Mytilus edulis: one gene and its partner. The protein of the gene in region 1 interacts with the protein of each later gene in a pairwise test. Links are inferred from orthologs where the notes say so. Each region holds a gene or a part of one and is shown on either strand. Other genes may lie near its edges.

The links.
Region 2: the proteins of kinesin-like protein KIF9 (region 1) and protein arginine N-methyltransferase 6-like interact in a two-hybrid assay, tested with the Homo sapiens proteins (2 studies listed by BioGRID and IntAct). The link is inferred for Mytilus edulis from reciprocal best matches to the Homo sapiens genes KIF9 and PRMT6.

The regions. Positions count from the first base shown.
Region 1 is NC_092357.1:41,446,877-41,464,090, reverse strand, and holds the start of kinesin-like protein KIF9, read left to right. Parts: upstream 1-7,936; 5' UTR 7,937-8,034; intron 8,035-9,755; 5' UTR 9,756-9,768; coding exon 9,769-9,915; intron 9,916-11,002; coding exon 11,003-11,168; intron 11,169-11,708; coding exon 11,709-11,862; intron 11,863-12,775; coding exon 12,776-12,959; intron 12,960-13,530; coding exon 13,531-13,614; intron 13,615-15,200; coding exon 15,201-15,293; intron 15,294-15,789; coding exon 15,790-16,002; intron 16,003-16,490; coding exon 16,491-16,568; intron 16,569-17,214. UniProt on the Homo sapiens protein: Essential for normal male fertility and for progressive motility of spermatozoa.
Region 2 is NC_092344.1:70,733,969-70,751,611, forward strand, and holds the start of protein arginine N-methyltransferase 6-like, read left to right. Parts: upstream 1-9,988; 5' UTR 9,989-10,095; coding exon 10,096-10,133; intron 10,134-17,643. UniProt on the Homo sapiens protein: Arginine methyltransferase that can catalyze the formation of both omega-N monomethylarginine (MMA) and asymmetrical dimethylarginine (aDMA), with a strong preference for the formation of aDMA.

The DNA of each region.
Region 1 (17,214 bases):
AATGTCTGATATAAAAAAGAAGATGTGGTATGATTGCCAATGAGACAACTGTCCACAAGAGACCAAAATGACACAGACATTAACAACTATCATACTATAGGTCACTGTACGGCCTTCAACAATGAGCAAAGCCCATACCATATGAGCATATATTTCATTGATAAATATTTCGCAATGATCATTGCACTACATTTTGTTTACATGTATCTCCAGGGGTCAAAATTAACTTGTAGCTCGGCTACTGGACTTGAAAATCAGTTAGCCCAGGCAACAAGTTAATCATGTTAATAGCCCACTTTATTTCACTATCACTGGTTAAAGGCGGCAAAGCCGGCTGAACTTGCTAGGGGGAGCATTTTAGACTTAAAATCCTGTATTCTGAGCATAACTGGAGGTGATTTAGATGCTTGGGAAAACGTAAATTGTGTCTTATTTTTGTTGAATTTAATCAAATTTCTTTCGTTTCACTGATATTATGTCATTACAAGCTACAAATGTATTGTCATCTTAAGGAGGCTCGAGGGTATAAAAATTTCAGAAAAAAATTAAACATTTGTTTTTCATTACAAATTTTATTTATTACCTTTTGCATGTTTTGTAGTTGTTACTTTATCATATGGTACATAACATTCAAAACAATTAATTCGTGTTGACCCATCATTGAAAAAGTTCCAAATTATCTCCCTTTGGTGGAAAAATGCCATTTTTTGGCTTTAAAATTGAAATATGGACCATAATTTGGTATTCGGCCTTTGGTTTCTTTTTGTATCCTTTTTTATAAGTTCTAAAATTTTAACTTTTATTTTGTGGGTTGTGTTGGTGTTAGAATAGTATGAATGGAACAATTGAGTTTTTCGAGAAAAAATTAATACATTTTGATTCACCGTTTACGTGACATGAAACCAAACAGGAAACCAATCTTTATTTTCTTTATTTTGCACAATATAATTCAAAAGGCATAAATAAACACCATTACTAGTGTTACTTGCTTCATGTTAATATTTAAAATCTATTTTCAATGTTATATTAAAGTTTTTTTAAAACCTGACAGGAAACCATAAGAAACCGAAAGCATTTTTTTAGTTTTATTTTATTGCAAAATCTGCTTAAAATAATCTGAACAGTATACTTTTTCTTAAAATCCATCTTAAATGTAACAGTATTATAAAACTCCTAAATATGTGCTTGTTTTGAAAACAATTAGTACAATTTATTCAGAATTTTCCATATTTTCTTCATTGATACAAGATACCATAATCGTTGTATCTTGATGTTTAAGCCAAAAAAATGTATTTATATTTGGTTTTGATATTCCAGTTATATACAATTTATTCCAAATCATTGGCAATGTAACATTCTTTAAATCCAGTAAAGAAAAAAACTTTTAACTTGGAATTAAAATCTTTAAAATAGGCACAATGTGATACTTGTGACCTGTCCACCATCTACATGGTTTCCACATTTTAACCTACTTTAGTGGGCTAAAATCAATAAAGTACTTCCTTTCAAGTCATGCATGGTAAAAGTTTACTTCTCCTTTGACAAGTTTATTGCGTTTCTGATAAGTGTTTGCAGAACATGAATAAAAAATATTAATTAAAAACTGTGACAAAGATTCCAACTTTGTACATTCCAAGTGTAACGGTATATTAACATGTATTTTTTATTAAATTATATTTATTCACCTAAAATATCCAGTAATATTTACTGCTGAAGTTAAATCAATCCAAAGAGCATTGGTACAATGATAAGAGACGTAATTTCGATTGATTTTTCCAAGGACTCTTCACGTCATTATCGGGAAACGAAGTGTGTTCTAACGTCTGTCAAATATGAAATCGATTTTGTCAAGTCATTGGGCATTTATTTTCACACAGGATCGTATGTAACATTATGCACATAGGAAAAATAACAGACCATCGGCGCAATCTCTTTGACAATTGTATTTTCCTCTTTTAAACAAGACGAAACAAGTCTACAGATTAAGTTTGCTAACATCCCGTTGGAAACAAAAACAATGTTTAGACCTAGTATTTCGTACATCCGGCCAGAATGGCGTTATCACATGTTAGTCACATGTTTCACGTATGACTGGAAATGATTAGAACTTAAGGACAAAAACAATTTTGATAAATAACTGGACTTCTGTTTCGTGTGAAATGTAACGCATAACGATAACGTAATTTTCTTACTCAATTATTACGAAGATCAAAACAAGAATGTAAATCATCTCGGATTTACCTGTTTGAACATCTCGCGAGAGTTCATATTTGCATATTGTTTTTAAGAATTCTATTACAACAAAGCAGATTACATCATCTAAAAATTGCGTTACGAAATCGGACACAAAAATCACGCCACTGTTCTTACATCTGCTACATAAATACTTATAGTTCTCGGCATTTTCTTCTCACTATTCTTATTGGTCGATGTTCTTTGTTATTTGAAAGCAAAAGTTACGAATTTGCCGGTGACGATTACCTATAAATCAGTCAGCGTTATGCTCTTCGGAAGCAAAAAATAACGCGAGAAACGACACAAAAATACGGTTGTAGAATCTTTGAAATTCGTATATTTTAATTTTTTTTCTAGGGAAGAGTAGCATACACTTGTATGTTGATAAAAATAATAGCATCTTTAGATGTAGTTGCAACTTTTCTTACAGTAATTCACATTTTATCACTTTTCTATAGTTATAGGAAACGGAGCCCAATAGCAAATTATGGTCCATATCTCTTTTAACTCATCGGTGACCTTTATTTTTTAATATAATTTCGATATATGCTCTACTTAAACTAAACTAGATATCATTGAGATGGGAGCCATCTCTGTGGGCGCCGCTGTGAATAATGTGCATTAAAAAATTGTATCTTTACCATAGGACATGGGTTTGTCAACTGAAATCAAAGTTTTTGACCTTGACCTTTGACCTATGAAGTTGTAAATAAATAATGACACACCCTTTGGTGTTGGTTTATAAACATGTCAAGCATAAACTTTGAAATGATAAAGGTTCTCAAGATATAGAGCGGACACGATCTTTACCATAGGACATGGGGTTGTCAACTGAAACCAAAGTTTTTGACATGGACCTTTGACCTAGGAAGTTGCACATAAATTATGACACACCCTTTGGTGTTGGTTTATATACATGTCAAGTATAAACTTTGAAATGATAACGGTTCTCAAGATATAGAGCGGACACAATCTTTACCATAGGACATGGGGTTGTCAACTGAAACAAAAGTTTTTGACCTTGAACTTTGCCCTAGGCAGTCGTTCATAAATTATGACACACCCTCTGGTGTTGGTTCATGTACATGTCAAGTATAAACTTTGAAATCATAACGGTTCTCAAGATATAGAGCGGACACGATCTTCACCACAGGACAAAGGGTTGTCAACTGAAACCAAAGTTTTTTTACCTTGACCTTTGACCTAGGAAGTTGCACATACATCATGACACGCCCTCTGGTGGTGGTTAATAAACATGTAAAGTATAAAGTATGAAATCATAATGGTTCTCTAGATATGGAGCGGACACAAAGTGTTACGGACGGACGGACAGACTGATCACTATAGGGGACCGCCTTTGGCGGGACCCTAATTATTGTAAAATTTGAGCGATTTCTGTAATAAACTTTTTTTTTATTTCGATATTACCTTTATTTCTCAGTTCAACAGAAAAAAAAACGCTTCTACAAAGATGTATGCTTCTTTGGAAGGCAGATTGTGAGCGCAAATGAAGGGTGACCACATTTTTTAATTTTATTTTTCTATTAACTATAAGATAAAGTTCATTTATTGAAAAATATAGAGAAATCCGATATAAATGATTTAGACCCGCGAACCCCCTTTAGTCAGCACCATTTAATTCAATCTTTACATCATAACTAATGATGATATCAAGTGTCAACTTCTGGAAGTGTAAACATATCCTGTTCAAATAGTTGGGACTGTCGTGTTGCTCATAATTCAATAGATATTATCATGTGATGTGTTTTCGTACTAATAACAATTTTCACTGCTTACGGTTTTCACTGTTGAGTTTTTATTCAGGTGTTTACTCAAATTTGATAAGCATGTCCTATCGAATGATTTGAGGTATCTATTTTTTTTTGTGAAGGCTTTCTACGATTTTTAGCCGTTTCCGATTACTTTGCGATTTTCGTTTGTCAAAATAACGGCGTCATATGTTTTCGTATGAATTAAAAATTGGATCAGTTCAGGGACAGGAAATGACTATATAATCCAGAAATTAGTATTTTCTAAAGTCGTGGTTCTGGTGATCGCTTGAATCATAATAAAGGTTATTCAATACTTTTCAGTACTAGTAATAAATAGTAAATAGTTTTAGGTTGGTGTTTCATATACTGAAATTGTTACATTTTTATTTATTTCCGATTGACACTTGGTTTCTAAAAAGGACATTATTTTTTTTGAAAACAAAATGCAGTTTTTAAAATTTAGGGTTTACTTAATGTAAAAAGTTAAGACTGTTTTCATCTTCATGTATCAAGGATGTATAAAAAGAATTGTCAATAAAATATTGAATAAATGGATTTTGAACAGCCATTTTATATAAGAACTCGAACCATGATAATTTTAACGCGCTTGTTTGTAATAAAAATGACCAAAAAAACACATGAAAGTCACATGTCTTGAAGATCCGATGTCGGGCAGGCAGACGATATAGCTATACTTCATGTAACTCCTGAGGCTCCTCAGAATATTGCTAAACAACTATTCTAGTGTGCCATATTTTTGGCATTGAATAAAAATGGCTAATCTGGTCAGTTTTATTAAATTTGTTCTAGCGTCTTTTAAAACGACTTTGAATATGTTTTAAAGATGTCAAATTGTAGTGTTGTTGTTGTTCCAAATATAGAAACTGAATAACCCGCCACAACATACGCGTGTGAAATCAAAACCGATGAAATATTGATGATACAAAAACATACGACATACGAAAACATATGACACGACGATAATAGAGGGTTGTACCTGCAAAGAAAAACGTGAAAGAAAATTGCCATTTCACAATGAACGAATAATTCAAAATCTCTTGTACATTGATCTTTTTACCAATTTCACGAAACACTTGAAAAACAAACATTTTTCACGGCTGCACATAACATATAGGCAAAACATCGTTGCAGGAAAATAACCCTTTACCACCCTCATAATAAATTTCCAGACATCTCAAAAAAGAAAGGATCTTGGTTACAACTAACGCATAAGAAAAGCCCAAACTGAAAACAAATATCAACATGAACACATGAACTTGTTCAATCGTTTCAAAGACTAAATTATAAATAAAGTCAGTAAGCAGTGCGTGAACTTCGAAAATTTCCATAACTGTCATGATTTTCATATTGGAAATTCTTTTTAGAAAACAAACATATCTATCTATTGCTCTACTGTCATAGCATAAACATATCTCTTTTGGATGAATTTGTACATGTAATACCTTCAGGATCTGAAATTCAAGGGACATCAACCATTTGTTGTTTTGGTTTGAACTCACGCGAGAAATTGCGAGAGCCGGTCTCACTAATTAGCGACAACAACAATTTTAGCGACAACAAGCGTCAACAAGCGACAAGAAGCGACAACAAGAATTATTTTAGCGACAACAAGCGACAAGAAACTATTTAGCGACAACAAAACATTTTTTTTAATTAAAATAAATTATTGCAATAAATATTAAAAGAATATGCAAAAGAAAATAATTTTAGCGACAAGAAAATTAAAATTGATAGAAAAAAATGACATTATTTACATAATATTTTATCATCTATTATGAATAACAGCCAGTATTACGTTTAATTATTGTATTATGAGATTACTTTTCCCAAGGATTTGTATAGTACTATACAAATCCTTGCTTTTCCTTTGTTTAGAACATATTATTTATCTTATAATTTGTTTTTTAAAACAATGAATTATAAGGTGTTGGTTCACTCGTCACAAATTATTTATTTTTCTGTGAACCCCTGCATCCGCACACGATCCACCTTAGCCGTCCTGCGTTGTAGTTACAACCGTCAGCCTCATGTCTACCGACCAGTTCCATTCTACCACCAACCTCACTGAAGAAACAGCCCATACCTCGAAGAAAAGAAAAACCCGCGACGAAGATATGGAAGATAATACAACCGCACCCGCAACCGCACCCGCTCCTACTACGATAACCATCCAAGAGAAAAACTTAGCCCACTTTAGAACCTTACGGAAATTGAACATTAAATTCATCCGCAGCATACCTAAGTACACAAAGTCAAAGTAATTCGGAATACCAGGCATTTTACTTAAAGAAAAAGGGAAGGAACCAGAACCAGGATGAACCACATAAACCACAAACCTAATTTACAAAGAAAAGCCTGATCCACGGACATTTTATTATCAAAGTTAATTTTTATGAACATATCTACCAAGATTTACAATTCCCAAAATTGCGGCAATCATACACTTCACCCTTTACTACCTCAATGGAAGCAGTACCTCCCTCGGAGCGATCCAGTTGAATTGGTACGGGATGGCCAATGGGGTGTTGTCCTATTTGGAAATGAACTGACATTTTATAAACCACTATGAGGACCTCTACACAGACGTGCAAGAATAGCAGCTAACCACATCGTTAATAACTTTATTGACTAACTTTCACTTTTTAATAACTTTATTGACTAACTTTCACTTTTAACTATACTAGATTCTTATTTTAATTTCACTTTCACTTTCTATTTATATATGAACCTCAATCACAGTGACTACGGAACATACCAGTCAAGATAAACATTTGTTTTTATTTCTATTTTTAACTTTTATTCTTGCTACATCATGAACACTGTTTTACATTTTCACTTTCACTTTTATTCTTTTACGTCATAATTAATACAACCGCATTATATACACTTTATGAACATGTAAACTCTGTAATATTGTCCTGATGATGCCGCATTAGCGGCGAAACATGTCGACTCAATAAAACTATCACCTTGCGGTAACCTAGATGTTGTTGTCTCTACATATTATAATGAATTATACTGTTAGAATCAAAATATTATATTCCATTATGCCCGCTCCATATATATCGCCATTCGTTTATTCATACTTTGACTTTGATGAAAACAGATACATACATTATCTCACGGGGGGGGGGGGTAACTTCGATATTTTTTTGGTAGGGGTGTGCCATTTTTGTCTCAAAAAACGTACCCATTTTAATATAACATTCACTGAAATTCAGTACCTATAGTTATATAAATATTTAAGAAAGAATGGCATATACTTATATATATATACAATCTTTAAAATATGACCCATGCTTATATAAGCACTAACTCATCATCACTCATAATTCATAAATATACCAGCTACCCTTAAGTTTTTATATATGAATTGACATCGTTTGGTGCACATATCAATAGCATATTTATATATGATATGTAGATCATACCCCAAATCAATATACAATTATCAAACGTAAATGCAGGATGTCATTAAAAAGGAGGGTCATTTTTATATAAAATCTCGCAAAATTATGACTCATATTTTTGGCACATCCCCGTATACCCAATAATAGGAAGTTACCCCCCCCCCCCCCCCCCCGTGCATTATCTTATACATATTCTTCATATTTGAAAATAAAAAAAAGAAGCTCAATCTCTTTCTTCTTCACAATGTTAAATTTCTTCATCTACCAATATAATAAAACATTTTAATTAGACATATCTGCTCGTATATTTAAAAAAAAAAACCCATTAAATACAAATTTCTTTATATCTAATAAAAAAAAAAATGTTTTCTTGTCGCTAAATAGTCTTCTTGTCTCTTGTTGTCGCTAAAATAATTCTTGTTGTCGCTTCTTGTCGCTTGTTGACGCTTGTTGTCGCTTCTTGACGCTTGTTGTCGCTAATTAGTGAGACCCGCGAGAGCTTCCTTTCTGCGCATGCGCTAAGTTCCTAACAACCTGTCAACAAAGTGTGGGGCAAATTTATAATCACCGTTAAAACTACATTTATGAAATAACAGGTAAGTCTCTTCAGCCGAATATATTAACAAACTTTTGATTACACAAAAAAATCACCCAATTCAGGGACTAATGTCCCTGAATTTGAAGATAAGTAACCAGTTAAAAAAGGGGGAGGAAATTTTGATAAGTTCATGTGTGTAATTTATGAAAATTAGCAAAACTCAGAAGTCACTACTTCTGTTTCTTTTCCATTTCATTTGTTTTTGTCATAAGAAGGGTAATGGAAACTGAGATGAGAAATAAATGTGTTAGGTTATAGTTCTTAATTGGTTGTCCGCCACACATTCATGTCTTGATTACTTGAATAAAAAATTCATGTCTTGATTACTTCAATAAAAACTTGAAGTTGTGAAGACACATGGTGATGGTTGATCTTGGAGGCCCCTCATGGGGGGGTTCTAGTAATCACATAATCACCATTTTTTTGCCAATATAATCACATAATCATTAAATATTTGCTTATCTTTAGTAATCAAATAATCATAAACTAAAAATACAGTCCTAGGTAATCAAATAATCATGAAATATTTGGCTTAATAATCAAATAATCATTAAAAAAACGGCCAAGTAATCACTTAATCAAAAACCCCATGAGGGCCCTCATCTTGGCTATATCCAGTGTTTCCCCTGGGTCAATTATTTTTTTCGCCACCTCTTTGACGCCAAACCAATATATTTTTTACCACTTTGTTAATTTTTTCGCCAAGTAACATTATATTTTTCGTTTAATTCCCCCCTAAAAAAGATGAGTTTGCCCCATCGTTGTCTATGATTATTCTCTCAAACTTATCTTTGAGTCTACATTGTTTACAGTTAAATTGTAATGAATTAACTTTCTAACATTTAGTATGATTTACTATTAAAAAAACGGAACTTTTTTTAAAAGGGTGAAAATTCTTTATATATGTATTTTGAACAACTTTTCTAATAGAGGGGCCACCTACTTTTGATAATAATGAAGATATCAGTCCCATAATATAACAAAATTCTTGGACATGTTTTGACCATATATTATACAAGAAAGATGTACAGTTCTTTGGGTAAATTTCTTCAAAAGAAAAATAGGTGCCCGTTTGGCAAATTGCGAAAATGGCGACAGCCAGCGGAAACCCTGGCTATATCAGACACAAAGAAAGCCTAGGTAAAAAGAGGATGCTAGCAATGAAACTTGTGTTTGTTCTGTAAAAAAGCTATAAGTTCAGGCCATAAAAAGAATGGGTTTGTTTGCCCTAACCCTACCTACCCAGAAAGTAGCTGCCTACTCAAAATCTTTATTGACCTGGTGGTAATATTTTTTTTCATTCAAATAGGCATGAAGACTAATAGACATCTGATACTTTAATTTCTCTTTGCCAAAAAAAAAATATACCTTCCTACCTACCCACTGTCTCAATGTTTGGTTTGAGTTTGGGCAAACCAAAATATTTTTAAGTGTGACCTCATAACAGGCTTTAAAAGCCATGATATGGAAAATATTGTAGAACTGACTTTTGAAGGTCCTGGTCTTCCATCAAGTCTTAGAGAGCACTCTCTCTAGCTGACTTCCTCCAAAAAGTGACAGTCACAATAAACAGTGAAAAAGTCAATATTGGAGAGAGTGGCATTTAACAATTAATCCATTTGATCTTGACCTTTGTTGTGTATTGCTTAAAAAGTCTTTTAAATAATTACAATGTATGGCTAAAAGTTTATATACATTGCAAATAAACTCTTTTTCTAGATAAGTTGACAGGATGTATAGTCGAGGGACCTCAGGTTTGAGCACCTACAGCAGACCGGAAAAGAAACCGAGTAAGAACCAACGTGTTAAAGTATGGTGTAGAGTAAGACCAACCGCTAATTTTGATACAGAACATATAGAACTAGTCCCTGATGGAAAGGTAAGATAGACCAGTCTTGAAAAACTGATGTCTAAATTAGTCTTAAAACTCTTTAGAATCAATCCTATACATGTACAGATCAACATGAATTTGGTTAAATGGTAATTTTTTTGTGAATTATTAAAAGCTGGGTTAAAGTTTACATGGGCAATGATATATCAGTTTTCTTAGGTTTAAAAAAAAATAAACATAAAGTTACACAATTCTTACAAAAATGTCAAAAAAAAGCTTTTCTGCAAAATATATAAATGATAAATTTTCTTATTTACTGCATATTCTTTCTGTCATTATTTTGGCCACATTTTTGTTGAGCCTTCGACTTTAGTAGAAAAAGCGAGACATAGCGATCCTACATTCCGTCGACGGCGTCCACAAATATTCACTCTGTGGTTAAGGTTTTTAAAATTTTAATAACTTTCTTAAACTATACTGGATTTCTAACAAACGTGGACAGAAGCTTGTTTATGATCATAAGAAAGTATCTAGAAGTAAATTTTGTAAAAATAAATTTCAATTTTATCAGTGTTTTTACTTTTAAATTTGATTTAGATTTTCTGCCAGGAAACAACACATTCACTCTGTGGTTAAAGTTTAAAAAAAATTTAATAACTTTTCTATACCATTTTGGATTTGTACCAAACTTGGTATCTAGAAGGAAAACAAGTTAGTATCTAGAAGGAAATTTTGTTAAAATTTGGTACCTGTGTATCTGTATTTTACAAGTTTATAAATGGACTTAGTTTTTCTTCCAGTTAACATTTCATACAGTCTGCAGTTAAGGTTTTTAAAACATTTATTAGATTCATAAACTATCTTGGATTTTTACCAAACTTGGACAGAAGCTTTTTACGATCAAAAGATAGTATCAACAGGAATAATTTTATTGATTTTTTTCCTCATTTTTGTTGAGCCTGTGATTAACAGCAAAAGTAGGCGAGACACTGGGTTCCATGGAACCCTTACAAAATTTTAATCGACATAATATAACTATCAACACTGGTTCGATTTTTGTAAATCAATGTCTGTTTTTACTAAAATTTATTTTCATATCTTCTTGTTGATTTCAAAATAAATTTCTGTTTAACAGAGTGTAAATGTACACCAGAAGAAAGAGTCTGCGAAGGGAGTTGTCAATAACCAGATTCTAGACTGGTCCTTTAGACTGGATGGTATCTTTCATAATGCTAGCCAGGACCATGTCTTTGACACAGTGGCTGCAGATATTGTAACTTCTGCTCTGGATGGTTACAATGGTAAGTATTTTAAATTTTATTGAATCTGATGCTCTTCTAATTTGAATGAATATTTGAAACAGTTTAAAAGTGGCTTAATTGGACTGAAAGAAATTTGATAGAACATTTACATAAATCTAGATTCTGAAGGTTTTCTTATTCTAACTGGTGGAGCAGGTTTCACAAAAAAAGCTATTTTTGTGAAATTGACTCCTAATCATTTGATCCCACATCCCTTAGTACCATTCTTTACTTTTACTCTGAAACTTTAAGTCAATTTATTTGAGTTTTTTTAAAGCACTTATTTAACAAAAGATGTGATTTGGGGGAAGATAAATATTAATTTCCTGAAATTAAGGGAAATACAAATCTTTGTACAATGTACATCATAAATTAAAATGTATACAAGTAACACTAAACAGGATTATTATTATTGCTGTTCTTCTAATAACTATATAAGTATCATTGAGTGCACAATTATAACTGTAATGCAAAATAAAAGATAAGATATTCCAGTGCACACAACCTACTTAAAAAGAAAAAATATATTTAATTTTTCAGGAACAATGATGTGTTATGGACAGACAGGAGCTGGAAAAACATTCACAATAACTGGTGCTACTGAAAGCTATAAACAGAGAGGAATTCTGCCTAGGTCCATATCACAGCTGTTCAGGGAAATAGAGGAAAGACCTGAATATTCTATCACTGTCAGGTACGCTCTCATAAAAACATAATATTTAGAGCTGAGCTTTATATCTTTAACCAAATTTTATCAAGATGGTTAATTCTTTTCGAAATTTTATCACCAGGAAGAAAAAATATGAGGTTTCAAACCAAAACCATAGCTATCATAAAGAACTATTTCAGATTAGAGTAAATGACAATAAGACAGAACATCCATTGCCATATTATTAATATACAGTGAAACCTGACTAAACCGAATCCTGTATAAACCGAAAAACCTGGATAAACCAAACATGTTTGTAAGCAACGTCATATCAAATTATGTGCGTTGTGAACCTGATGAAAATGAACATCGGCCAAAACCGAACAAAATCCTAAGTCCCGATGAGGTTCGGTTTAAACAGGTTTCACTGTATATGGTTAATATTGTTTCAGTATAAAAGTGTTTGTAATATTAGTTATTGAATGTATGTATATGGGTATCTTGATATAAGAAGATCTCCTTTCAACATTTTCATATTGAATACTCACAAAATGTGATGTCCTACTGTAAAATTTCTAGTATGTTGAAACTTGAATATTTTTGCCGTACTTTTTTCGTTGTATACACAAAGATGAAAAAAAACCTATGTGTATTTTGATATAAGAATACTGATAATGCTCTAATGGAATACATATAAAAATTTGATGTTCATCCGTAAAATTGTTAGTATGTTGATGATTTTTGCCTAGCTTCTTTGTTGTACTACACCAAGATGAAAAAAGCTTTGTAAAATATCTACAGTGGTCCAATGGTTTATAAGGGGAACTGAAAAAGAATATTGTTAAACTATAAATGTAAACCAACCATAGATATGTAAATGTTACCTAGTAACTTAATAGCAGCTCATATTTTAACCACCACATTCACTTTTTAAGATTTTTGCTTTTTGTTTTTACAGAGTTTCCTACTTGGAAATCTACAATGAGTCTATGGTAGATTTGTTAGCAACACTGCCAGAAGCCATTAATCAGGAAAATGGTGGGTCAATGTCAGTAGCTGAGAATCAATATGGAGTCTATGTTAAAGGATTGTCTTGTCATCTCACACAGAATGAAGAAGAGGCTCTCAATTACTTGTTTGAGGTTAATATCTATCCTAAAAAATATACTTTCATTTCTATCCATATTTGGTAGATGATTTGTTTGTACGTTAATACTTAATTATTTGTTGAGCATCTTAGAAAAAAGTATATCTTTTATTTACATTCAGTATGACTGCATGTATATTACCATGAGTTTATAAAAAATGATTTTTGATATGAAATTGAGTTGAAATTAATGGATAGGATGATTTACTAGTGTGAATAAAAACTATAATTTCTCATGTGAAATAAATCTAATAATTTGACTTCTCAGATGTCATATAACTATGTGTGTGAACGAAATATAGGATAAAGTTTAAAAAAAGATGTAGTTCCTAAATGCAATATATTTTATACTTTTTTTATAAATTTCTATTAAAAATTCTATGGTCAATGTGATAAAAAGTATTAACTAGTGAAAGAATCCAAATATTGAAACTCATGCACATTCATGAATTAATGTGTAGTTTACTTGTTATGTTCTTTTCAATATTTGGATTTTTTATGAGTTAATTTATCTACATTTAGTATTGCTAGAGGAGCAGAAATAATTTAACTTACTATGTTTTCAGGGAGAAACTAACAGAGCTATAGCAGCCCATTCACTGAATGCACAGTCCTCTAGGTCTCACTGTATATTTACTCTGTATATTGAGGTAAGCTAGATTTGTTTCAAAATCCCCCCTTTTTTTTACATCCCCAAAAAAATGTTGTTGTCTTTTCAATGTCATGATGCAGCTACTTTTGATAGGAGGGGATCTCCAGGTTACGTTTGAACAAAGTCTTGATATGCTTCATTCTGAGCTGTTTGTCGAAATCCTAGTAGCAGAAAATTATTTCAGGTCCTTTTTATAATATAATTTGTAATCTAAATTTGGGATATTGTAGCATTCAGCTTTACTAAGAACTCATCATGTTAAAATTATTTCAGAAATCTTTCTCGTTTTTCATGTTTTTCTGGTGTAAATCATTTGAAATTTGTAAAAATGCATGAAAAGTATAAATTCTGATTTATCTTTTATGCAGAAACAGTTGAAAGAAATAAAATTATGTGTTTAGAGTGATGTCCCCTTCTTTTGGCTTGGTTTACAAATTTTATTTTAAATTAAATCAAACATCAATAATGATCATAAAAAACCTATTTTAAGCATCATTAAGTAATTATCTTAGAAATCTGTCAACTTTACTATCAATTATATTAAAGTGATAAAGAAAAAATTGTAAGCGTCCTGTAAAATTGATACTTCATAAAGTGTTTAGATAAGAAGTATGATAGTTGTGTTATTCCAGAACTTCATTACGACGGACAATTGTATACCATAATATATAGCAACTGCTAAGCGCATGATACGCCTATATATTAATCTTTGAAGGCTACTATGTAGCTAACTACTTTTTATGATTACAGACTGTCCTAAATATTAAAATATCATAGAACTGTTGAGCTATAAACGTATCAGTATGCCAAAATCAACTTTAGTCGTAAAATTTTGTGAATCTAATCACATGGTCTAGCCCACATAGTTTAGCCTGCATATCCATAACATTACTAGCATTTTGTTTCAGTTTTACAATAGGAAAGAAACAAATAACTCTTTAGGTGAAACAATTCTGAAAAACTTTGTGCACATAAATGTCTTGTTCCATTTTCTAAGCTGAGCTGAACATTGTTGATGTTGCATTAATACACTATCTAGATCTAATGTCTTAGACTAAGGTGTAAAAATTCAATATCTATATATCTGTTTTTATACAGGCTTTATATATGATATCTATATGACTGACTCTATTGGATATAATTTGATTATTTTTAACATAAAGGTATAACACAGGCGCGGATCCAGAGGGGGGGTTCCGGGGGTTGGAACCCCCCCTTTTTTTCGACGATCAATGCCTTTGAAAGGGGACATGTAGTTGGAACCCCCCTTTGTCCTGGGTTAGGAACCCCCCTTTTTAAAATGACTGGATCCGCCCCTGTAAGAAATGAATGAACTTGATGCCTTTTATTACATTACTGTCTTTGATGAGCTGCTTTTTTGAGGGACTGGATTTGTTTATAAAAAATGGAGAATAATATGCTAAAACAAAGAATATGGGTAAAAATAAAATGCCTATATAAAATTTAAGAATACAGAAATAAATATTCAACATTCAGACATACTTTTCTTATCATTGTAGTTTGCTTATATAGCAGAAATTTGGAATCGTTTTTATTTTATGAATGTTTAACTTTTATTTACAGACAAGATCAAGAGTGCAGTCCAATGCTAGATATACAGTTTCTAAATTGAATTTTGTTGATTTGGCTGGATCTGAAAGATTGAGTAAAACTAAGGTTTGTTGAATTATCTCCCTTTAATATTGATTATATCAAAATTAATTTTGTGATTTATTAGAAATGTATGCTAAGCATTTAATTATAATTTTTTGAAATTTATTGTATAAAACTGTGGTCTGAGACATGTATATAGAAAATGCCATTTTTAAATACTTTATCAGCAAGGATTCTGGAACAGTCAGTCTGATATTCCAGCTGATAAAATCAGTACTGACGTATAAAATTAAAAAATGAAAAATGAAAAATTAAATTCTATTATAAAATTGCTTCATACTATAGGTTTAATTTTATTTACCAGGAGTGACATTTGAAATAGTTTAATGTATATTTGCTCTTGAAATAGTTGCAAACAGAAGGACCTGTATATACAGAATTTGAAGGAATAAAAAATGAAAAGTTTTAAATATTTATAAAATGAATGAAAGAGTAAGTTTTCTTCAATTTTTTCAATATTATATTTTTACATGTTTAATAAGTAATTGTTATTTTTCAGTCTGATGGAAAAACACAACAAGAGGCAATGTACATTAATAAATCATTGACATTTTTGGAACAAGTCATTGTAGCATTGGCAGATAGGCGTAGAGAGCATATTCCGTTCCGTCAGTCCAAACTAACACATTGTCTCAAAGATTCTATTGGTGGAAATTGTAATACACTCCTGATAGCTAACATATGGGGAGAAAAACAACAGTTAGAAGAATCAGTAAGTTGCTTGCTAAAGGAAACTAAACAATACATTTATCTTTTATGAATCCTCTTGATTATAACCTGAAAATTACATCCTTTCCCATGATCAACTTTTTTATATTGTGAGGGCCTGAAGACTTTCATCATGCATCATCATTTATGGATTTTTATTTGAAATGGTCATACAAAACTTCTTTTAATTTATCAAGTTTCTACACATTACACATGCTAAAAACAAGTGTCAGGTGGTGTAGTTTAGATATTCTTTCAATTTGAAAACAATATAATTTATAGTTAAAATTGTCTTCTTCAAAGAATAAAACTTTGAAAGGATTTAAGAGTACACTAAATACTGGACAGGACAACCAAAATAATAGACATACATAACTTAAAGTTAAATTAAATCACATAATAAAAAAAACGCACAGAACAGCTACAAACAGGATGGCCACTAAATCTAGTAACGGAAAATTAAACAAAAGTTAATATTTAATCATTTTTCAGGTATCAACATTGCGTTTTGCAACCAGAATGATGTGTGTTGCTAGTGAACCATCTATGAATGAAATTATAGATCCTGTGGTAAGTGGATTTTTAAAGGAATTTTTTATACTTTAGATAAAATATTTTGGCATCGACTTTGGTGTATATTCATTTTAAGGGAGTTTACACATAAACTAATATTTTTGTATAGAAGGAACAGATTTATCTTTAAAATGTACCGGTAATTAGATATAGGAAGATGTGGTATGAGTGCCAATGAGACAACTTTCCATCCAAATAATGTTCTTATATTTCTTGTCATATTGCTCTTCTCCATTTTTCTTCTAACAAGATACACTCATCATTGATACCAAGATTAAAATTTGTTATGCCAGACACATGTATGCATAATTGTCTACAAAACACTCATTAGAGATGCTCGAATTGTTGTAAAGGTGCAATAATTTGATATACCTTTTTAATATAAGATGTCGTTTTGGTAGAATACACTGTTAGGGCAGGAATCCCAGGGCTGGAGTTCACCACAACTGGGTCGTCTGAGCTCCGGATAAATTTTGCGAGGTTGCGCAGTAAATACTAACTAAAGTTCCGGTATCTTATCTTGTTATGGCAATAACTTTCCGGACCTTTACTACAGAATCAAAAAGTTTAAAAAGGCCAAAAAAAGTATAAGGTTGAAGAGCATTAAGAACCAAAATTCTGAAAGGATTTTTTCAAACACATA
Region 2 (17,643 bases), on another chromosome or scaffold:
TTAAACATGTTTGTGAGATCTCAACCCTCCCCCTATACATCTAGCCAATCTAGAAAAGTAAACGCATAACAATACGCACATTAAAATTCAGTTCAAGAGAAGTCCGAGTCTGATGTGAGAAGATGTAACCAAAGAAAATAAACAAAATGACAATAATACATAAATAACAACAGACTACTAGCAGTTAACTGACATGCCAGCTCCAGACTTCAATTAAACTGACTGAAAGATTATGATTTCATCATATGAACATCAGGCACAATCCTTCCCGTTAGGGGTTTAGTATCATACCATCATAACATATATGAGAAGAACATAACCCGTGTCATGCCAACAACTGTTTTTAGAATAAATGTGTTTAGTTCCGATGCAAAGACCTTATCAGTGACTCAATATTAACGCCAAAATATGCAATCTTTAATGACTTGACAACAGTATCGTAATTATATCCCTTTTTAATAAGTCTATTCAAAGGTTTTGTAAGTTTCTGAGGTGAGTACTGACACCTTTGTGCTTTATAAAGAATATTTCCATAAAAAATTGGATGTGAAATACCTGAACGTACTAGAAGTCTGCATGTTAAGCTATATTTACGAATAATGTCTTTATACCGATGATAAAATTTAGTAAATGTTTTGACTAGTTTGTGATATCGAAAACCCTGGTGTAATAATTTTTCAGTAATACATAAAGGCTTTCATAGTCAAAATTTGTTTTGTAAGTGTTGAGTATATTATATTGTGTTATCCATATATAAATGCATTTGGATTAATACAAGGTCCTATGTATACAGGTGCAGATAAGTTCTATGACATCATCGAGTTGATGATTGGATACAGAATCAACAAGTGACTGTTTATATGTTGGAAGTTCATAACGCCAGCAATAACTTTGGTAAGCATAAAGGATTTGGTTACTATTTACTTTTACAAGTCAAACTATTATCGAAGAAATTCCAAAATGAATACAGCCTTATTGCTATGTTCTTTAGGTATTCGAAGCGACTATAATGATTAATACATTTTGTAATTGTACAAGATCAGAAATAACTATCAACACTTTTATTAAAATTAACAATATTGCAAACTGCTTAAATTGTACAGAAGTACAAACGATAATTCAGTCTGGCAACTGCAAGACGTCTTAATAATTGTGACATTAATTGACTTTTTTCAAGTATTCTCAAAGTTATATAATGTTGTAGGTATTAGTGGAAAGCTACCTTTAACATCATATAAGATGGAAAAATTAAATTATGTAATATGAATAATATATGTCATATTTTGTACCAGGTCATGATTTGAATGTTTTTCCTTTTAGGGTATATTGCTGTTTCAAATCATCAAATTCAAACCAATTAAGTACAATACAACAAATGTATACCCAGACTGGGCTCAAGCATTTGGAATTATGCTTGCAGCGGTATCTATTATATGCATTCCAACGTATAGTATCATTAAATTATTGAAAGCAGAAGGTTCTTTAACCGAGGTTCGTATACATATCATTTTCATATTGACCATTTCATTCATGTCTTAAATGGTAACACTTGATTGGCGAAGACCGTCTATACATTAAACGCTTTCTTTATTGTGTATGTGTGTTTCAGATAAGCATTACCATTGTTTGAATAATAAAATGCAGAATAAACATCATTCATAAGCTACTTATAAAACATAAGCTGTGGTATGGTTGCCAATGATACTCTCCACAAGGGAGACCAAATGACACAGAAATTAACAACCATATCGTGGGTAAAATCAAGTGCTGCGTAAGGGTCAGCATGTCCTGCTCCATTAGTGAGAATCGATATTATCGCAAGACATACGAAACTTTAACGACATACGGTATAGTAATAGAGCAGAAACTTGTACAATTTGGGGAAAAGTTTGCATTACATAAACTGAAATCATCTATTTAACTCAATATATTATAAGACTATCTTACATTGGAACACTATTGAACCCTTGTGTTCTTGTAATAAGAAAATTTACATATCAAAGGTCAAAGTTATCCATCCCCTATTTAATGTTTTATTCTACGAATATATTTTAAGAAAAGATCATGTGCCAAACAATTTTTAAAGGACTGTTTTTCTTCAAAATACCACATTTTCTTATTTTCCTCAATAAACTGGTCTCAATTTTTTTTTACCTTACTGGAAAAAGAGGGTATTTTAGTTCGGGGAAGTATTTTCGCCTTACCTACTGCTATCTGTCCAAGTCCTCCTCTAAACAAACAGATATGTACCGTTGACTTGAAATTGAATGTACTGACGATCAGCAGATGATATTTAAGTTCCTAATCGAATTTCTTTAATTTTAACTATTTATCTCTCAAAGGCTCAGAAGAAAAGAGCATGAACTGCTCATGAATTAAAAAGACAGTTTGGCGAGCCAAAAGGCTCAACAATGCTTCCATAGACTTATTGAAAAAGGCTTCTTGTAGTCCGGTACCGATTAACAAATCCTGCATGTGTCATATCTACCCTTGAACTATTGAGTGTTCAAATATCTAGCTATAGACCGTCACTTCCTATAAACCCAGAGACATTGACGTCTACATCTCAGAAGTGCATATCGACATCCGTACGGCAAAGACTGATAGGGACATTTTGTTGTTACATGTAACATTTTTTCTTTTCCAAGTTGACCGTGATTTCTGATGTGACAGACTTGATATATAGATAAAAGAAGATGTGGTATGAGTGCCAATGAGACAACTCTCCATCCAAGTCACAATTTGTAAAAGTAAACCATTATAGGTCAAAGTACAGCCTTCAACACGGAGCCTTGGCTCACACCGAACAGCAAGCTATAAAGGACCCCAAAAATGACTAGTGTAAAAACATTCAAACAGTAAAAACCAACGGTCTAATCTATATAAAAACGAGAAACGAGAAACACTTATGATCAACAAACGACAACCACTAAACATCAGGTTCCTGACTTAGGACATGTGCAAACAAATGCAGTTGGTTTAAACGCCGACCTTCACTCAACCTGAGACAATAATGTAACATCACAATATAGAAAGAATACTATAAAATATCAATTGAAATAGCTGAACTAAATCAAAAGACAAATGAACAAAAACAAGTGAACATACACTGAACGAATAAATTAACATGTTTAAGCAAATTTGAAGTATGACAAAAATGTATCTACTGAAAAATTTGGAATAAGCACTAAAAAATTTAGAATATATAGGTAACAATCGTCATAAAAATTTGATACATAAAAACTAAGAAATTCGTCAATTAGCACTAAAAAATAAAAGTACGAGGCTATGAGCCACTTTAAACATATTGAGACACCTATAATATATATATTTATCATATACTTAGACTAAATAACATATGATTTTTACCGTATGATAATAGCATTAAATTAAAGTATTTTCCATATTTTTCGAATTGGTGCTTAGCGGGCTGATATGAAAAGTTTATCACATGCTTCGATTGTTATCACATGCCTTTCCGTATTACGTTATCACATGGCATTCCGGTGATACTCGGCAAATTCCGGAAACTACACCTCAATGCTACATTTTCAGTGAAAAACATTACAAAGTAGTGAACAAAACAATTATTTGAATACTGGAAAGTATGTTGTGTAAAATAATTAAATTAAATTAAAAAAAAAAAAAAAAAAAAAATATTGAATAAATGCATTTTGAAGTTTTTCTGAAACATTATTTAGAAAGTTACTTTAAAAAAGTTGACTTTTCTAAACAATGTTCATTATGTATATTGTTGAATTATTTTTTTGTCGATTTGTCCATATTAACATGTTTTGTTTTTTTTCTCTGTTGAGGCATATGATAGAAAGATTTCATTTTGAATGAATCAAATTTTGGGTCCGACGTCCGTGAACTTTTTACTCTTTCAACTTCTTTTCGGGAACCACGTAGAAGGATAAATATGTGAATCTGTTATTTCCCTCTACTGTTGAAGCATATGATAAAAAGATCATAACATGTCATTTTTCATATCGCATGTATTATCAGCCCTCGGTCAATATCAGCCCTCGAGCCATGCGGCTCGAGGGCTGATAATACATGCGATATGAAAAATGCCATGTAATAATCTGATAATATAGAAGATCCGTGTGCTAATATAAAACTAAATAGAATGAAGCATAAGGATTTAACTGTAAACAAAGCGTTTGCAGCAAGCAAAAAATAAAAATATAATTATCGAAGCCAGACCAGAAAATTTTTGATGTGCTGAGCATAGATCCAAGCGGGAACCCATGTGGCAATCGCCTCTCTGAGTCTCCGCATAAATAGCTATGCGCAGAGCATTTAGATTAGATAGTGTGACAAAAAGCAAACGTGACCAGATTTTAACTATATGCAAGCTGAGCAACGGCAGTTCGAAACATTCAAGAACTGAAGCAAGATCTGAAAGAGACTTTTCAGTACTGAAATGGTTTGGCAAGCTATTCCAGAGTGAAGCAGCAGTAGTTTTGAATGATCTCTTATCGTATGTACTAGTTCTTGTGTGTGGTATGTCCAGGATGTTACTATACCTAGAATAGTATTTTGAGGTTCGTTATATTGACTAGATCACTCAAACACACTGTTGCCTTACTGTTAAAAATTTTGTAAGTTTCAAGTACCATTGTCTTGAATTCTCACCTGTAGAGTTGTCACCTTTATCACATGCAGAACGGTTTCATATGATCAGGTAAAATCACATACAAAACGGAGTGATCTCTCCAGCACTTTTCCTAACTTCTTGGAGTTGGTGTCCGTGCAGAAGTGCCACGCTCCTGAGTAGTCTCTATATATAGAGGACAACAATTCAAGTTTCTTAAAAATAAAAGTATGAAATATTGTGTTTTTTTAGTCTCGATAAAATAGACCCCAAGAATATTTAGTTGTTGTGACGTCTTTCTGCACGTCAAGCTGTTGATATGAGCATCAACTTTCAGATGATAATCGATATCAATAAGAAGCAGCTTGAAAGTTTCCTCACAAAAAAGAACATTTCCTTGGAATGGAAAGCGAGGATTATTTGCAAATGTTTCCTTTACGACGACAATAGCCCAACTTCGGTAGTGAATCGTAATCCTTGGCTAGCGAAGATGACAATAACCTGAAACTTGTCAGGATTGACCTACATTTTGTTAACATTGAACCTGTCAATAAGCACTCGAGAACCAGATGCTAGTGTATATATAAGTGAATTTAAACTGGACTGCCAAAAGACAATTGAGGTTTTATCATCAGCATAATTATGTAAAGAACTCACAAAGTAAAAATATCGTTTTTGAGGTACATCTTTCTGGATGTCAGCCCAACTACTCAGAACACCATTGACTTTAATTTGTTGTTTTCTGATAGCTAGAAAGATATGAATGCAAGAGGGATACTGAATGTGTAGATACACCATGAGGTAGTAAGTTGTCCAGTAAAATATATCTTTAGACACTTGCATGGCGATAATTAGATTTTAAAAGAGGAGAATTCTTTTTATGCAGCGATGTAACTTGATATTCTTTGAGTCTATCTGGAAAAACATCCACATCAATATACTAGTTTATAAGCCTTGTGTTGCGGGCTGATGTACAATCTAAGATATTTACTCTCCCTAACAATTTTTGCTGGTTTGCCGTCTGCGTCCGTTTCTTTTTAATGATGATCTTATTAAAAAAAAATCAAATGTATGTGATGTCACTCTTTGAAAACTGTAGTTCGAATCTGATGTCTCATTTACTCCAATATTTGCCTTTATCTCTAAGAGATGTACTGTAGTGTTGATCTTTTCCTATCTTCCTAGCAACAGTAATAAAAAAAAAAAAAAAATACTGGAAATTTCCACAGAATCATTTATGTTCCAAGTTGGAACTGAGAACTGCTATCTTGAAACTGGAAAATGTCAAGCTTTGCTTGACAAATGTTAACTTGAATGCAGAAAAATTACGTTGACGTGAGAAAGTCAAGTTGGAATAGGGAATGTCAACTTGGATCAACTTGGAACTGAGAAAGTAGATTGTTTAAACTTATAAAGCCCTGTTGTTGTAATTTCTTCAGGATTAAAACCAGAGAATATTCAAATAAAAGAAAATTAGTTAAAATATTAACGAATATTTACACGACAAAAAATTAAAACACAAACATATAATTATAATATATAATAGAAAAAAGGGGGGTCCATTCCCCAAGCGCCTGTGATTTATTTCGCAATACTATACGGACAAATAGGTAATAGTACTGCAACCAGAGTTCATTTTTTAAAACTTTAATGGTCCGGAAGAACACACACCTAAATTATATATCGATGGAAAGAGGAAAACGTGTATAATAAGAAAAGTTGGGTCGTAAAAATCCAGTGGTCATAATTTTGTGAAATTGAGGTCAAAGGTCAGACCTAAAAATATCAATATTTCAACCACAAGGACAAAAAGGAGAAATATTCTGATATTTATTCAATAGAATGCTACAAAAACGATTCAATCATAAGCATATGATATAAACGATGTTAAATCGACAAATTTGACTACTTATATGAAGAGCTGCCATTACAAAATGGCGTTGATTTGGAACCTTCTGATTTTTTTCCATTTAAGACATAACAAAAGAAGAAGTGGCCTTGACCTTTTCACATCCATAAACTTTCATATTGTGTATAGTATTTCACTATAGTATATTACAGAATTATTTTCTAAAGTTTAAAACACCACTTTATCAAATTATTTCAATATTTTTTCTATCTTTGAAAAAAACAAAATTCAAGCGCTGAAACAGTGTTTTTAATTTTGCATCTTAAAGGTTGTGTATTTTGTGAAAATTAGTATATAGTTATAGATAAATACATATTGTGTTTTTGCAAAGTCTGGACAGAGCAGTTATAACACAAAATATACTATAGTCACCCGAGGCGAATGCGAGGTCCCTTTTTTATAAGAACAAGTTAGGCGCAGGACAGAGTTTGTTCAAAGTAAACACAGTTTTTGAGTACAAATGCTATCTAGAGCGTAAATGCCGTCATGATTCGGTCAAACTCGTCAGATATAGTCTTACCTTTGCATAGGAAACACAAAAGAAATGTGAGTACAAAGTTTCGATCAATGTTCGTGACCCATATTTCCATATGCATATGCATGATGTATCTGTACTGCCAATCCCAAATGTAATGGGGCGAATGTTGCTACAGAAACGATTGATTTTGTAATAGCCATACGTTTACGAATTTTTGTTATCTTTAGGGACAATATACGGTTCAGAAGCGTCTTTGTGTTATTTTTCATCAATTAACTAACAAATGAACTTTTGAGCCTAGGCTCCGTGTTGAAGACCGGACCGTGACCTTTAATGGTAGCATTGGCACACATATAACATCTTCCTATATCTATTAACAAGCTATGCGAGCATCCTTTCCATAGAAATACCAAAACGAGGACATAGCTCATAAGAGCACTGGTGGCAGGGTGAAGTAATTGTTCTTCTTTTAATGTATCCTTGATATTTTCAGACACACCTTGGTGTAATTCTGAAAGTCTTAACATAGACTTCAATTTTCCTGCAGCAAAATGGCATCCCCTAAATTGAGTTCAGAGCTAAACTATATTTCATATCCCTTGGCCCCACTGTGTCTGAATTGTAAGGTGTCACAATATCTAGTTAGTTCTGGAGTTTGGCAGTTTGGTAAGCATCAGAGACAATTTTGGATAAAATTGATCGGTATATATAGAGGATGCGTGCTACATGAGAAAGGCTTTTTCTTATGGAAGAACAAATAACATCACTAACAATCGTTATTAATGAACTGACAGCAAGTTCAAATTCTAATTTTTCAGTAACTGTTTTACTTAATTGCACAGGTGTTGACTTCAATAAGTACTTGGTTATGCATGGATAAATGATTACTCACATTAATAAGCACAACTTAAAAGATTGTCAACACGTTTAAAGGACTCAGTTTTGCGTAGTTTTCTGGGGGTTTTTTAAAGGTTTTTCTTTTACACAAAAACCCTGTTTTCATATCCAAACTACAAGGAACAAACTGAGCGCGAGATCGTATAAAAGTGTCAGGTTGTGAGGATACATGTCGATTAGTTTGATCACATATATGGATTTCTGTTGTTTCTAATTTAAAGTTCCCCAAGGGTGACTGGGGAAACGACATATGGTCACTTGGTCTTCCTTCGACCGGCAGTAAAACGAAGTGGGGCGTCCGTTTGGCTGTGCGGGATGTTTCAAGTTCGCATTCACGTCCGGTCAGAATGGGGACGTTAAATCCGATGCCTCGTGTAAAGGGAGTGTCACGTTCTTTGCACGTTAAAAACCCTTGCATCAACTCTTTGAGGGGTCCGTACATGGCATGTTGCAATGGACAATTTCTGTCCCAATCCAATATACCATCATTTTCCATTGGCAGTCTAAATTTTCCCGATCATCATCCCGAATGGCCTCTATTATGACAAAACCTACCTATTGTTTTTATTGTTAACTTGTTCTCATCCTGAACATGCATGAAATATTTGCCACTGGACGTTAAGCAACCAACAATCAATCAATCAATCTAATTTAAAGATGCACACCAAGTTTGCCTTCTGGTACAAGTTTCATAACATCACTGATGATTCGCCCACGGAAAGCAGAATATCAAGAGAAGTTGGTTTTAGCATCACCTTGTCACACACCAAATCTCTGCGAAACTTCAATAGTACTTTTTCCCCCGACCACTTGCATGCATATTAATTGCTCTGAGGTTTAATAAACATTGACATTTTCACACAATGTCAACTATAGTCATTATCCGGAAAAACCTCTTATCTGAAGGATTTGGTTAACTTTTATATAAAGTCAAAATTTTATTAACAAAAATATAACTTTTTTACAGAAAATACACGAAAGAACTACTATATATATTAAAATCACTCAAAAATAAATTAACTTCTCCTACAAAATCTACATAATCACATCGAAACTATCAAATTGATTGTGAAGGAAAAAATAAATGGTGGAGCAGATTGACGGATAGGAAGTTTCCGTAATTAAAAAAGGTACAAATGATGTTTTTATTTTTGAGTTTTTGACAAAATTGTTTGGTATTTGCCCAACAAAATTTGCATGCAGTATCGCAATAATATGTTTTGTTCTCTCAAATGTCAAATACTGTTTTTGAATCACATGTTTTCTCGTTTTCAAAGAAAAACGCGGTAAATTTCTATCTAAAAAATCAGCCAACTTTAAGTTTGAAAGTTTTACATGGAGATGGTATTATATTTATGTCTTCATCATTCCGATGATCCTTGATGATATGTGCATAGAAAATATTTCCGAAAATAGCGGGAAAGTTAACCAAAAAATATATTTTTGGATTTTAAGGTAACTACCCAAAACCGTAAATTGAGGGGTACCCCCATTAAAGGGATAAAATACAAAAATGTGACCATAGAAACTTTTTACAACCCCACGGAAATTAAAATATAGATATTATTCTATCATTTAAAACAATTTGCAGCCGTGTGTTATTCCGGACCATTAAACTCGGTAACTAAGCGTCTTTTTCGATGTCAGTTGCAGTACTAAACTCCTGCCCACAAATAAACGTTTAAATTTCTTACACCATCAACATGATCAATCTTTGTCATAAAATCTAAAAGATTTCCACTTTCATACAGTCTACAGCTATTTTATGCTGCGTTCATACGTAATTCGAATTCGATTTGCATTAACTAATTCTAATTAGTTTAATTCGCATTCGAAACGTTTTACGTCCAAACGTAAATTCTAATTCGAATTGCAATGCGCGTCAAATTTGCTTTACTGTCCGAACGACGTTTACTTTAAAAAAAAAAACCGGATTTCTATTGCAATTTGGTTAATGCGAATTAGCCAATTCCAATCAATTCGAATTGAAAAGGAAGAGTGTGTGAACGCGATTAGCGAATCCGATTCGCATTCAATTCGAATTAAATGTACGTGTGAACTAGGCCTTAACATTTCCTGTGACTAGGTAGTTCTTAACCGATTCGCGGGAAAAGGGAGATAATAAAGTGCTTAACCACATTTATATTTTCAACTTTTTGGAGGAAAGCTATCATCTGACAGACATCATTATCATTGAGAAAGATCTCGGAAATGAATGCTGACGAGTCGAAGCCATTCGAACCAAAAAGGTATTTATTTATATTTAATATTGATGTTATTTGGCTCGACTGAACGCAGCAGCTAAACAAAAATGTGTACTAGATACTAGTCAGATAAGGTTCATGTGGACCCTATGGCTAAAATGGCCGTTTTTTCACACCAAAATTTACTCTGAGTACAGGCAAACCTGTGCATCTGGGAAAGTTTTAAGGCATAGCATGCCCTAGATATAAAGAATTCAAATGCAATGTATGATTTAGAAAATTCATAACTTAACTGGATTTTGCCGCACACTTTTTTTCGTCCCTGCAGAAGATGATAAAATTAACAAACAGTTGAGTTTACCTTGATATGGTCCACTCAGATACACAGTTTAAATAATTTAAATAACCAATTATTGTCAGGTATCTATTGTCCATCTCATGTCCATGTCAAGCAATACAGCTCACTTAAATTATTACCTGTGGGGAAGTTCTCAAACCTGTTTCCCAACTTAGTTTATTTTGACACCTTCTGGAGGAATGAAAAAAAGTGCACGGCAAAATCCTGGTAAGTTTTTATTTTTCTAAAACATAAAACATATTTGAAATTTATTTATCTAGGGCATGCTATGCCTGAAATTGTTTACAGATGCGCAGGTTTGTCTGTACTCAGAGTAAATTTTGAGGTGAAAATACGGCTATTTTAGCCATAGGGTCCACATAAACCTTAATCAGGTTGGACACAAACCACCAACAGACCAAATGGGGAACTATTCCCCAAATGAGTAACAATCCCTCATTTGACACTCATTACACACAACAGGACACAGGTCGGTCATCTTAAAGTAAAGAGATCACATGTTATCTCAACTCCAGTAACAGAGGATTAAGGTTCATCATAAGGAATTGAAAAATATGGCCGTGTTAACACCTCCAAAATTACTGAGTACAGACAAACTGGTACATCCAGGAAAGTTTTAAGGCATGGCAGGAACTAGATATATAAAAGTTATATGAAGTCTACGTTTCAGAAAATTAAAAACTTACCTGGATTTTGATGTTCATTTTTTTCCAGTCTGCAGAAGATAGCAAAATAAACAAACACCCGAGTTTCATTTGATACGGTCCACTCAGTTACACAGTTTAAACCTGTTAAATCACCTATTGTTTACAGGTGTCTATTGTCCATCTATTGTCCATTTAAATCAATACTACTCACAACATTGATTATATGAGGGGAGCTTCTCAATCGTTTTCACTACTTAGTTAATTTTTGCACCTTCTGCAGGAAAGAAAAAAAATGGATAGCAAAATCTAGAAAAGTTTATAATTTTCTGAAACATAAAATGCATTTAAATTTTTTATATCTAGTTCCTGCCATCCCTTAAAACTGTTGCAGGTGTATAGGTAAGTCTGTACTCAGAGTAAAATTTGGGGTGTAAATACGGCCATTTTAGCCAAAAGGTTATGATGAACCTTAAGGAGAGCTGGACATTTTTTCAACACATGTGCTAATGAATTGTGAAATGAATTATCTCATTGGCAATCATATGCCACATCCAATTTTAATACTTCTGCAGATAGACCATGTAGACCAGACATGATTAAATGAGGTAGCCAAGTCTATGATTGCATAAATTATTTGCTGTTCTTTATCTTAGAACTGAACAGTATACAGAGGGGCCTGATGGGTTATTTTCGTTCTTCATGATAGGCGCATCTATCATGTGTATATAAGCTCTATATTCATGTACAAAAATATATATGGATAGTCGACCTTCCCATGGATAGAAACAAGTACCCTTGGTTGAAATGCAACAATCATGTATGATATTATTATGATATTTTCACACAAAATTAATTATAGTTCTCTCCCTTTGTCCAGTTTGCACAGCCCACAATGAAATTCAACATGTGAGATGTGAAAATTATCATAGGCGGAAGACTGGAGTGGGCCCGCTTTAGGTCAGTCAGCGGGCCCCCCCCCCCCCCCTTAAGAAAAGTTCTTGATCCGCCACTGATTATTATAGATTTATATATTCAAAAGTAATTTGTACTATAATTTTATTTGATAAGAAAGATTTCTTCTTCTGACATACATGTGTAGTGGTATTTGATAATCAGTCTTTTGTTGCCATGTTATTTTTACTTAGTTAATTTGCTTCAGCTGGGATTTTTCAGAATTTAAGAAAAATTTCGGCTAAATTTTATTTTTCTCTACCAACCCTATTTCTTCAACTCGCAATTCTTCACATTTATTAAAGGTATTATGAAAGGAATTTCTATCTAACTTTCAAAAAAAATTTGAGAAGGAAGTCCTATAAACACATGACCTTTTTAGTTTGGCTTAATGATAAATAGGTTTTACTTAAATTGTTGGCAAAAACGTTGGTGCTAATTTTGGAGGGTTGGACAAAGGCTTACAGTCTGTTTGTTTGATGCTGGCAGGTATATGGATCCCTGAAATTTACAGGAAGATTGCACATATATGTTTGTTGAAGTTGTGTGTCTTATATAATGGAATTGATTGAGTTTTTTTCTCAATTTTCCAGACTTTGGAACTTATTCCTTTTTCAACAAAATTTATGTAAGAGGATACAAGTTGTCAACTTCTACAGTTTTCAACCAAGATCCCTAAGACTTTACAGAAGATTACACACATGTTAAACAGGTTGAGAACTCTAGATTTTCTGACGTCAGAATATATTTGCATAGTAATTTCCAAAACACAAGGCCAATATGGCCTTGAAAAACTGACCAATCGACTAAATGAACTACAATGCATTGTGGGCTACTACGAGTAAACTACTACTTAAAACACGTGGAATTAGTGGGAAAACAGTCAATTAATATATTGTCTGGGACTCTCATTACCAAAGTTTTTATTCTGCAAATATATTTAATGTAAAATATGTAACGTAATCTTCAATTTGCATGCTCAGATTAAAAAAATATTGTTTATTGGCTTCACGATTTGACTTTCGCCTTGCAAAAGTAGTTGAACCGGTTTTGTGCATTGCTATGAATTGAACCTGCATTAATTTCACGACATGACACAGTGAAATATCCAATGAAGTGACCGCTGTCCAGTAAGAAAATCATTTGAGCTCTTTTAAACCTGTATAATGTCATTGCAAAATCATTTTTGCCTAGAAAAACACGAAACTTTCATTGAAACACTTCTTTCTGTACTGAATGTGTATATTTTTTATCAGGACCTGAACTAATAGTAAGAACATCATAATACTCAGTATGCTAAAAAGAAGTGTTATGAAAGCGGCAGGGGCGGGTCCAGCCATTTTAAAAAGGGGGTCCTAACCCTGGACAAAAGGGGAGGGGGTTCCAACTACATGTCCCCATCCAAAAGCACCGATCGTCCAAAAAAAGGGGGGTCCATCCCCCGGAACCCCCCGCCCCCTGGATCCGCCACTGAGCGGGTACGGTATACAGCTCAATACATTTTTTATAGTTTCATCCATCGATAATATCCGTTTGTTGCTAATTTTATCACAAAATATACCTCAGAGGTTTTTTTTATCGTTCGGCTGCTGTCCTATTGACATATGTAAAATATCTCCAATATTAAAAGTCTCTGGATCATAGTGGGTGCCATATTACCTATTTTTTCTTCTTCTAAAACGTGCTTTGTATATAGAAATAAGAAGATGAGGTATGAGTGCCAAATGAGACATCTTTCCAACAAAGACATAATTTAGTAAAGTAAGCAGTCATAGGTCCAATGCTGAAAAGTAAGCTATTAATGACCCAAAAATTACTTGTGTAAAACAATCCAAACAAACAAAAAAACAAACAAAAAAACGGCCCCATTAAATATTAAAAGGACAAGAAATCTATCCCATCAAAAAAATATATTGTATAGGAGCCTGTATTTCAGTGGTTGTCGTTTGTTTATGTGTTACATATTTGTTTTTTGTTCATTTTTTTATATAATTAATGCCGTTAGTTTTCTCGTTTGAATTGTTTTACATTGTCATATCGGGGACTTTTATAGCTGACTATGCGATATGGGCTTTGCTCATTGTTAAAGGCCGTACGGTGATCTATAAATGTTAATTGCTGTATCATTTTGGTCTCTTGTGGACAGCTGTCTCATTGACAATCATACCACATCTTCTTTTTTATTATAGATCCAACGCTGCAATTTTCACAAAACATATCAAATTTTCCACCTTGTCGCACATACATATGGATAAAATCATTACAGCTTATTTCCTAATGCATGTGGAGCAAAACTTTGGTTAGCTTGCTTGCTTTGTTTGTATATTGTACAAAATATAAAATATACAAGTTAAACTATTCCTATATATATATATTGTTTAAAGATGTCAATCTTATTTTCAAAGCTTGTATAAACAACTATACAAACAAAGCAAGCAAGCCAACCAAAGTTTTACTTTGCAGGTTTAAGAAATCAGCTGAAATGATTTTATTCAGTTTGGCAAATGTCCGAGCCCGTTAAAAAACGAACAAACTGAAACTACAGTTACTGACTTCGCTACCTTCAAAAAAAGGGAACAGTTTGGAAGTTCCATATACTGAAATGTGACCAACAAAAATACTTGTAAATATTTCTTCGCCTTTTTTACGAACACAAAATTCAAGGATCCCACATTTGCCTTTAATTATCTATACGAACATTGCTGTACTCTTGAATATCAGCACCGGCTGTTATCGACGGCTTACTTTACACCAGTAAGTTTGTCTCATGGGTAGTTGTGTTTTTTCGCTGTTGTTTCGTTGCCTCTGGTGGACAAATACATGAAATCTCTGTGCCATCATCAAACATGTTAATGGCTATATATCGGATAATTCAAACCCTTTTTTCTTCGCATAGAAACAACTCTTCGTTAATCTGAGCATGGAAGTAATACTTTATATCACGAACTATAAATGAGGATACACAAAATGAAAAACTAAGCGAAATTGTGAATCCCGCATTGCACGAAAAAATGTGTTGTATTTCAGTAAATAACACGTGTTCTTGGTTGATTGTAAACACGTAGTAGTCCATCATGCATTGTGACTCATTTAGTGGATTGGTCAAAAACCTAGGTAAAAATAAATTGCGTCACATGTAAATAAACAATTACATGTGCGAGAACATAAGTATGCTAATTTATGCATTTCTATATAAGGTAGTGGTCCCGACCTGTTAAAGTTGAGCAAATGCTGGCTAAAAAATAGAACATAGGGGAAAAATGCAGTTTTTGACTTATAAATATCTCTGAAACTTAAGCAAAAGTATAACGGTTGCATTATTTCATGCATCAATTGTAAATAAAAATATCAGGTGAGCGACACAGGCTTCTTGGAGACTCTAGTTTTTTCTCTCCCCCAATTTATATGATTGAAAGTCTAAAAGTTTTTCTGTCAGCATCATGACTTTGTTGACTATTTTTAAATGTATATTAATGTCACAGACAAAATTCACTAGAAAGGTGGAAAAAAATCAAAAACAATTACGTGTCATAAATAAACATTCTTATAAATGAGTATAAATTTCAATGTATTTAGACATTTTAAATTGCACAATTCATATTATAATATTTTTCATGTCAAAAACTTTTATTTGATTTTTAAATATATGTTGTTATAGATATCATAAAGAACATGAAGAAGGGAGAAAAACTATTCCAATTCTTGCATAATTATCAAAATTTGTGAGAACTGGAAGCTGCCAAATAAAATTCACAGACATAGTTTAATGTATTTAATGCATGCCTATCACCTGAGCCTATCACATGATTTTTTTTCTGCAATAAATTTAATTCAATTAAAGAGAGAATTAAACAAAAGTTATAAATATTATTTAGCTGGTTTGGCATTAAGTGTTAGATATTTTTACCATTGCACATGGTGCATATGTTTTCAATTAGATCAAATTAACCAGTACCTACATTGTATATAACCTATTAAATATCTAAGCTTTTTGCCAAGTTATATTAATAATTTCATAAGATATATAAGTCATATGGCACATGAGATTAATGTTAATTGAGATAACTGTGCCTTTTTTTCACAAAAACAACCAATATTTTTAATACTGATCATGAGAATGTAAAATTAAGTTTGAAAACTATTGGAGCCGATTTTATTATTTTAAAGTTGATAACAATTTGAGAATGTTAAAGATAAATTATAACTAATGGTTGTTCTTGTTATGTTTCGTTTTAATAAAAATCAACTTTTCAGGTTTTTCGGTCCATGCTGAATTAAATTCTTATAGCCACAATTCAATTTACCCAAAAAAAATGTCATGTTACTACATCTAATAACTGCAAGATTATAATTTACGACTTATTTTTCTGGCAGTCATTTTGAAACTGTCTTTACTATTGAATTAAAATAAACCATGCTGGCCAGAAAACACATTATTATGGCATGATATTGTTGTCTCTTTGACTCGTTCCCCATTTCCATTCTCAATTTTAATGAATGTAAATACATAATTTCCTTTGTTTAGGGGTCGGGCCATAAAAAAGATTATTTTTGTTTGCCCTAACCCTACCTACTCGAAAAATAGCTGCCTATCTCTTCAATCTTTTATTGGCCTGATGTGAAAAAGTTTTTTTTAATCAGATAAGCATGAAGACTAAAATCATTTGACTCTTTGTTGAAAAAATGCCTACCTGCTTCCCTACCTACCCACGGTTTCAACCTTTGGGTAGGGTTTGGACAAACCAAAATATTTTTCAGTGTGGCCCCAGCTGAACCCCGGAGCGTCCATGTATGAGATTTTCTTGTTGTGTTGAAAACTCATCGGTGGCCTTGGGCAGTTTTCTGCTCTTTGGTCAGTGTGCTGTCATTTTGACCAATTCCCCATTCCACTCTTAATTTTATATGAGGGTTTTGAGATTATATGACAACATCATTCATGTATAGTATAGTAATATGATGCAATCTTATTCCATTTCTTAGAGTCTTTTTTACTTAATTTATCAAACAGTGTACTTAATAATATTCTCATTAAGTAATTCAAAAGATGTGTTGAAAACCACTACCTGTATTATTTTCCTAATTTATATGAAAAGTCCTTTGATTAATTAGATAGATAAAGGCAGATGTGGTGTGAGTGCCAATGAGACAACTCTTTGATTAATTGACTACTTCAAACATTTATAAAATGTCAAAGTTCAAATTTTTCAAGTATTGAACCATTTGTGTGAACTTGAAATAAAGTTTACAATATTAGTAACAACAGATACAGATACAGGTCTGCTTCGATATTTTAGTATGACTTACAATATAGAAGAGAGGGCCATTTTGCAACTGAAGTGTAAGGCAAAAAGGAAAAATATTTTAGTGTTATTAATCGCATTCAAGCTTCATTCCAGAACCACCTGAAAGAGGAATTTGAAATTGACAATTTGTTTTATGGCACGTATATGTTACTCTCAGTTAATTACAAATAACTTATATTGTTGCAGTGTTGGATCAAAGGGAAGGGATTTTTATTCCCCCTTTATTTCTATCTCTTTAAATTTATATGATTGAAAATCGAAAAAAATGGGTCATAATCATAACTTTGTTGACTTTT